Linked DNA regions of Rattus norvegicus. The protein of the gene in region 2 interacts with the protein of the main gene of each other region in a biochemical or structural test. Links are inferred from orthologs where the notes say so. Each region holds a gene or a part of one and is shown on either strand. Other genes may lie near its edges. The genes, in order: Icam1 and Itgb2.

Region 1 (3,811 bases), on a different chromosome or scaffold from region 2:
TCTGGTTTTTAAACAGGGACTTCCCATCCACCTCCAAGGCCGCAGAGCAAAAGAAGCGTCGTTTGTGATCCTCCGGGCTGGCATTCAGTGTGAATTGGATCTGTGAGGTGGGTGGCCTGGGGGAAGTACCCTGTGAGGTGGGTGGCCTGGGGGAAGTACTGTTCAGAAGCACCACCTGTGCCCCACCGTGGGCTTCACACTTCACAGTTACTTGGTCCCCTTCTGAGACCTCCGGCTGGCTCAGGGTCAGGATGGGAGCTGAAAAGTCTGGGGGCGGGACACACCGTGAGCTCCGCCCAATGCAAGCCCTGCCCTTGACCACCCAGCCTCAAGTATGGATGGACCCCTAGTCTCAGCCCCAATCTCCAGTATTGGCCATCCAGGAACTGGGACTAGCTGAAACTAGGCCTTTAGAAAGGTCTGGTCCCACACATTTTGAAACAAGGTCTCACTGTGTTGCCCTGGCTGGCTCAGAACTCATAAGGACCCTGCCTACCTCTGCCACCCCTGTGCTGGGATTAAAGGAGTGCTAAGTCTCCCTGCAGTTAGTTCTTCTATCTCTTGAAAGTGCCACGACTGGTGTGCCCCTGGTGGCAGTTCTTACTCCTGAATGGGCTACCAAGTTAGGCCACGCCCCTGAAAGGCCCACCTATGGTGTCAGTCCCACCCTTGTCAGTCCTACCTCTTTAGAACCTCCCCTCCCCCCACCCCCTATTGGTGTCAGTCAGGTCTCAAAATCACTTTCTTTAGACTAAGCTTCGCCCCTTCTTACTGTAGATTCTCAAGGTCTTCTCCATCTCCAGGGTCTGGTCCGCCAGCTCCAAAACACAGCGCAGCTGCAGGGTTCTGTCCAACTTCTCAGTCACCTCCACTGAGGCAGTGGCTGACACAAAATCTCTGCTGTTTGTGCTCTCCAGGGTCAGCATCTGGCCTCCCATCTCCAGGTATATCTGAGCTTCAGAGGCAGGAAACAGGCCTTCCAGGGAACACAAGAACTTCTGCTGGGTGCCCACCTCCAGGAGGTCAGGGGTGTCGAGCTTCAGGACCCTAGTCGGAAGATCTTGGGAGAGAAGACAGGCATGAGCAAATGGACTTCCGAGGTCTGTCTCTTTCTTTCTCTTTCTTTCTTTCTTTCTTTCTTTCTTTCTTTCTTTCTTTCTTTCCTTCTTTCTTTCTTTCTTAGATTTATTTATGTTATTTATATGAGTACACTTTGCTGTCTTCAGACACACCAGAAGAGGGCATCAGATCCCATTACTGATGGTTGTAAGCCACCATGTGGTTGCTGGGAATTGAACTCAGGACCTCTGGAAGAGCAGTCAGTGCTCTTAACCACTGAGCCATCTCTCCAGCCCTCCCCAGGTTTTTTAACACCAACTGCCCAGCCACCTCCAGAGCCACAGAACAAAAGAAGTGTGGTTCGTAACCCTCAGGGCTGGCATTCAGTGTGAATTGGACCTGTGGGGTCTACTCACAACCCCCCTTTTTCTTTCTTTTTATTCATTTATTTTCTGTGTATATGTGTGACTCACTTGTGGAAGTCAGAGAACAACTTTCAGGAGTCAGTTTCTCCTTTGGGAGTTGGAAACTGAACTCAAGTCATCAAGCTTGGATGCAAGCTCCTTCCTTTACCCACTAAGCTATCCTCTCCCCCGTTGCCGAGGTCAGCTTCCTCCCAAGAACCCACTTGCTCTCTGTGCAGGAATAGGGCCTCACCGAAAGTCCGGAGCTGCCTGACCTCGGAGACATTCTTGAACAGTGACAGCCCTTGTGGCCTGAGGTCCAGTTCTGTGAAGCATGAGAAATTGGCTCCGTGGTCGCCTCTGCTGGCCAGCACCGTGAATGTGATCTCCTTGGGGTCCCCATCCACTGCCTGGCGGCTCAGTGTCTCATTCCCACGGAGCAGCACTACTGAGAGCTGTGTCCGCGGTGCTCCGCCTTCCACCAGGCAGCGCAGGATGAGGTTCTTGCCCACCTGCTGCCAGGCGGGCAGAGGATCCAGCTCCACTCGCTCTGGGAACGCTGCAGGGAAACAGAGTTGGGGGATCCTGTGAGCTGGACTGCTGTAGACAGACCCACACCTGCCTAAAGACTTCAGTCTCCCCCAAACACACCCCACCACCTAAGCAGCCAGGAATGCAGAGAGCTTTGGGGAGAGGTAGGGAGGAGGTCAGGAGTGTTTGCACGACAGCGATACCTGAAAGGTGGAAATACACTCCAAAGTCTATCATTAGGAAACTGCAAATAATGTATCCGGTGTGCTAAAGGTTGACGGTGTGGTGGCCCAGCTTTGGAAGACCTGCCTAACGGACAGGAGGCCCTGGGTTACATCCCCAGTCCCAGGAATAAAATTAAATTAGATTAGAATGGGCCAGTGAGATGGCTCGGTGGGTAAACGTGCTTGCCACATAACCTGAGTGCCCAAATTCAATCCCTGGATCCCAGGCTGGGCAGTGGTGGCACAGGTTCTTTTTTTTCGGAGCTGGGGACCGAACCCAGGGCCTTGTGCTTCCTAGGCAAGCACTCTACCACTGAGCTAAATCCCCAACCCCGGTGGCACAGGTTCTTAATCCTAGCACTTGGGAGGCAGAGGCAGGTGGATCTCTGGGAATTCGAAGCCAGCCTGGTCTACAGAGTGAGTTCCAGGACAGCCAGGGCTACACAGAGAAATCCTGTCTGGGAAAACAGACGATCGATCCCTGCATCCCAAGTAAAGTTGGGCAAAGAGAATAACTCCAGAGTGGTCCTCTGGCCTCCATATGTTCACCTGGCACACCCGGGTCTGCACTCGCACATCATACACACACGATAAACATAACGAATGAGCTGGGTGTGGTGGTGTGCACCTTTAGTCCCAGCATTCGGGAGGCAGATCTCTGAGTTCGAGGTCTACAGAGTAGCTTGGTCTACAGAGTAGCCCTAACCAGGACAGTCAGGGCTACACCAGTGAGACCCCGTTTCTCTAAAAAAATAAGATATTAATTAATTAATTAATTAATTAATTAATAAAAGCCAAGAATGGCGGTACAGCCCGTAAGCCCACCCAAAGCAGGCGAAACCCAAGTCTGAGGCTAGCCGAGACTAAGTGAATTGAGGTGTGAGAAATCAAGCCACGCTTGTGTGAAAACTTTCTATAAGACTAATCAATTAAACCTTCAGGACAACAAAGAGTTAGGGTGTGCGGATCTAGGGCACACACAATTCTGTGTGCTTGTGAGATAGTAGTTACTAAGCTTCAGTGGTAAAAATCCCTGTGTAGAATCCCACACTGAGGGGCCGAGCCGAGTGGCGTGGCTCAGTAGTGGAAGCCCAGGGCAATTGTAAAGCCTTGGCTTCCCTTCTCTTTTCAGCCCCTGTCTTCCTTCCTTTCCTTTATTTTCCCTTTTCTTCCCTGTTTTGTTTGGGGTTTCTGTTGTTTGTTTTCGTTTTCTGCCTTTTGAGGCAGGCCCTTACATACTATAGTGAGCTTGGCCTCAAACCTGAGTCTATCCTGCCTTGGCCTACCCCAGAGCTGTGATTACGAGACCAGCACCGCATCCAGCACAGAGTCTTCCATTAGGCAAAGTGGCAAATTAGGTAATATATGTCTTTAATCTCAACGCTCAGGAGGCATAGGCAGGCAGATCTCTGTGAGCTGAAGGCCAGCCTTGTCTCCACATCAAGCTACTTAGTATCAAAAAAAAAAAAAAAGTCAGAGACTACAATTCTACAAATACAATATACAGTGGCCCTCGCCCCCCGCACCCCCCTGTTTAATCTCAGCACTTGGGAGGCAGAGGAAGGGGTAATTCTGTGAGTTGGAGGCTGGCCT
Region 2 (3,811 bases):
GAGGCACAAGGGAGTCTTCACAAGGTCCAAGGCTACCGGGATGATGTCTGGGGTCCCTCCGCCCTCCAGAGAAACCACTCTGCCTTCTCCAGACAGCCACTCCCCGCTACGCCATGGTGGCTGAAGGGAAGAGCCAGTAAGAAGGGCCTGCCGGGGCTGGAGAGATGGCTCAGTGGTTAAGAGCACTGTCTGCTCTTCCAGAGGTCCTGAGTTCAAATCCCAGCAACCACATGGTGGCTCACAACCATCTGTAATGGGATCCGATGCCCTCTTCTGGTGTGTCTGAAGACAGCTGTAGTGTGCTCACATATGTTAAATGAATAGATAAATAAAATATATATTTAAAAAAAGAAAAAAGGGGCTGGGGATTTAGCTCAGTGGTAGAGCGCTTACCTAGGAAGCGCAAGGCCCTGGGTTCGGTCCCCAGCTCCAAAAAAAAAAAAAAAAAAAGAAGGGCCTGCCGTTGGTATTTCAGGAAATACCCAGGTAGGGTTTGGGACAGAGCAGCCAGGCCATGAAAGGACACAAGCTGCGGAAAGTGGCTGCTCTCTCTCTCTCCGTACCCTCCTCTCTTTCTCCCTGCCCTGCCGGTCCAGAAGCTATGAAGATGTCAGCAGGAGCCCCCTCCCCGCCCCCCCAAAGAGGATGTGCCCCGCCCCCCACTCATCCCCTGACCCATGGGATCCTTGCCAGCCACCCCCCACCCCCCCACCCCCTAGCCAACTTTGCTGGAGACTCACGTAGTAGGCTTTCTTGATAAGCTGGACTACGTTACTGGAATCGTCAGACAGCTCGCCCACCGCTGACTTGGGGATAATCTCTGTCAGTTTCTGTTGATGAGAAAGAAGACCAAGCTAGGGCTGGAGAGATGGCTCAGCAGTGGAGAGCACTGACTGCTCTTCCAGAGGTCCTGAGTTCAAATCCCAGCAACCATTTCCCAGCGTGGTGGCTCATAGCCATCTGCAATGAGATCCGATGCCCTCTTCTGGTGTGTCTGAAGACAACAACAGTGCATTTATATACAATAAATCTTTATTTTAAAAAGAGCTTCCCTTTCTCATGAGCTGGCTCATAGGATGTAAAACAAGTCGGTGCTATACTGCTGAATGCCAGTAATCGATTCTTGGAACAAAAAACAAAAAACAAAAACAAAACAACAACAACAACAAAAAAAACAAACAGCCAGGCCTGGTGGAGCAGCCTGATGTCACAGTCTCTCACCCTAGCTGAAGAGACATCAAGCTTCGAAGAGCTGGGTCTAGGAAGCTCAGGACCCAGGCCCTGAAAAGCTGGGTCTATTGTCCCTGGCCTCTCTTCACAAGTTCAGGGTCTGTCTGGGTTACTCAGCCAGATTGTCTGAGAAGCAAAACTGAATAAAGGGCCAAGAGTGTGGGCTGGTGGTGGAGTCCTTGCCTAGCATAGATTCAATCCCCTGTTCTGATTGAGAAAGGGAGGAAGGGCTGGACGGTGGGGGTGAATGCCTTTAATCCCAGCACTTGGGAGATAGAGGCAGGTGGATATCTGTGAGTTCAGGGCCAGCCTAATCTACAGAGAGAGGGGGTAGGGTGGGGGAACTACACAAGGTTACACAGAGAAACCCTGTCTTAGAAGGAAGCCCAGTTCCAAAACCCTGAATGGAGGTCACACACTCCTGGGTGTGACCGTCCCCAGCTGACATTTCAATCCGATGGCTTTCTGAGTTGGGAACACAGAGTCCCCACAGTGGCCTTCCCAGGTGAGCACTGTTGCCTCTCACAGAGGAACAAGCTGGGCCCCTTCTTTAGATGTGTCTGGAGTGGCTGAGATCTGCAGTTCTCCGATCCCAAAGAATGAGCCATCAGACTTTACAAATTGATTACAGTCATCGTCTTCCAAGTCTCGGGTCACATAACAGATATACACATCTCATTCTGGGCTCAGGGTCTGGCTGAGCAGCTCCTGGGAGCAGAGATTCTTCTAGGAAGAGAATCCCTCATGACCCACTGTCCAGTAAAGATCAGTTCATAGGTTGGGCTGCCTACACCCTACACATTCCAAAGAGGGTAGGCCTCGGCAGTAGCTCCTGGCAGGTGCGGGGATGGGGAGGGGGTAGGGGTTGTCCCTTAGGCCATGAAGGATCCACTTATTCTCAGGTGGGGCTGGAGGTCCTGGTCAGTCATGAGATTAGCCCTGAAAGGGGAGGGGCCGCAGAAGCTTAAGCCCCAGCTCTCTCCTAGACTTTGCCCTTTCCCTTTCTAGTCTCCGCTGACTTTACCCCTACACTGTGGCAAACTGACTGACAGTCTAGTTTGCTTAACTCTTCAGGCCTGTCCAGCCAGTCACTAAGCCAGGGAGAAGAAGGCTTGGGAGACTGGTCACACCTGAGACTCTTAGGCCTGTGTGAACTTGCCCTTAGAGGATTTGGCCTCAGCTCCTCAGATGGCTCGAGGCGGGACGCACACGCATGACATAGCATCAGCAGCAGAAACACAGGATGAGCATCAAGTAGCATTTCGAGGGGCCCTGGGGAGGCACCCCAGGCCTCAGTGAATATTTGCTAACTCCATAGCTGCTTCTTGCTTGGTGACATCATGGGACCCAATTACTGCCATTAGAATAGACAGAAATGCTATTATGAACCGAAGGGTCCAAGGGTCTCCTAACTACACGTGTAGGACTGCACCTTCCTCTAGGGGCCACCATAGAGGTGAGCTCGCTGGATGCAGAACCTTGGGGTCACCAGGCTTGGTTGCTTTACAAAGAGCAAGGCTGGCTGCTTTCTCCCCAGGAGGATGGACGACCGTTTCAAAGCCAAGGGCAAACCCAAGCGAGATCCTGTTTGCTTTAGCTTTGGCTTCTGTTTGTTTGAGGTGCTTTGGGGAGACTTGTCCTGAACCAACATATATAGGAAGGAGGTATCCCACTGTGGGCAGAACTGAGGTCTCCTGAGGTGCGGTCAACATATGAGTTTGGCTCCATTCGAATGTTGGTTACTCAAAGAAGCTTCTTTTTGAGGGATGGGGGCCGGGGGGCAAACTGCTTTGTTCCAGAAGAAACAAAAGAAGGGAGCAGCACTGTGAAATTTCAAGACATGGACCCTGTGTGGCTTAACGACAGTCTCAACTTCCCTCATCAAGATGCTCACAGACAGAAAACTGTGGCCACTGGGCAGGCCCACCACCCACAGGCCAACAAGAAAAGCAGAACTGAAGCAACAAAGGGCAGGGCCCGGCTTGTCACTGCCAGCTGAGATGGCCTTGTCGCCACATTGCACAAGGCCCCCACTTACCTCATAGGTTTTCACCATCTTCTTTGTCACTGCAAAGATGGGCTGGATGTTGCTCTCGGAAAGTTTGTGGGCCAGCTGGCCCACTGACGGGTAGTCCTGGAGAGAGGGGACACACCTTGTCAGACGAGCCTTCGAAGCAAACGTCCAGGCTGACAGAGCATTGGCCCCTGCTCAGGCCGGGCTTTACTTGGTGCAGATCTACAAGCATATGACAGGCTTGGCAGGGAACCAACCAAATCCTTTGAAATCCGCCAAGAGAATACTGATAATTGTGATGGCTACTGTGAGTCACGACTCTAGGTGCTAAGCCAGCCAGAGCTCAAGCAGTATCCCGAGGAACTGGCGTATGGGTACCTAGGAAGTGCCTGCGTTTCCACTAGGGCTAGATTTTAGACTCCACCTCTTCACCTCCATGATGTATAGTGGAAGGATATGATAGCCAACTTTAGGGGGAGGAAGGGAGATAAGATATCCCTGCTCCTGTCCAGGGTCAGGACCCCCCAGATTCTGTCTGCCGCCAGCTCCAAATCAGTGGGTTCCAGG

Evidence for each region.
Region 1: the proteins of Itgb2 (region 2) and Icam1 form a complex in vitro, tested with the Homo sapiens proteins (4 studies listed by BioGRID). The link is inferred for Rattus norvegicus from reciprocal best matches to the Homo sapiens genes ITGB2 and ICAM1.

Annotation. Positions count from the first base shown.
Region 1 is NC_086026.1:27,836,232-27,840,042, reverse strand, and holds part of Icam1 (intercellular adhesion molecule 1 precursor), read right to left. Parts: intron 2,023-3,811; coding exon 1,717-2,022; intron 1,061-1,716; coding exon 773-1,060; intron 268-772; coding exon 1-267. UniProt on the Homo sapiens protein: ICAM proteins are ligands for the leukocyte adhesion protein LFA-1 (integrin alpha-L/beta-2).
Region 2 is NC_086038.1:11,069,500-11,073,310, forward strand, and holds part of Itgb2 (integrin beta-2 precursor), read right to left. Parts: intron 3,365-3,811; coding exon 3,269-3,364; intron 831-3,268; coding exon 741-830; intron 1-740.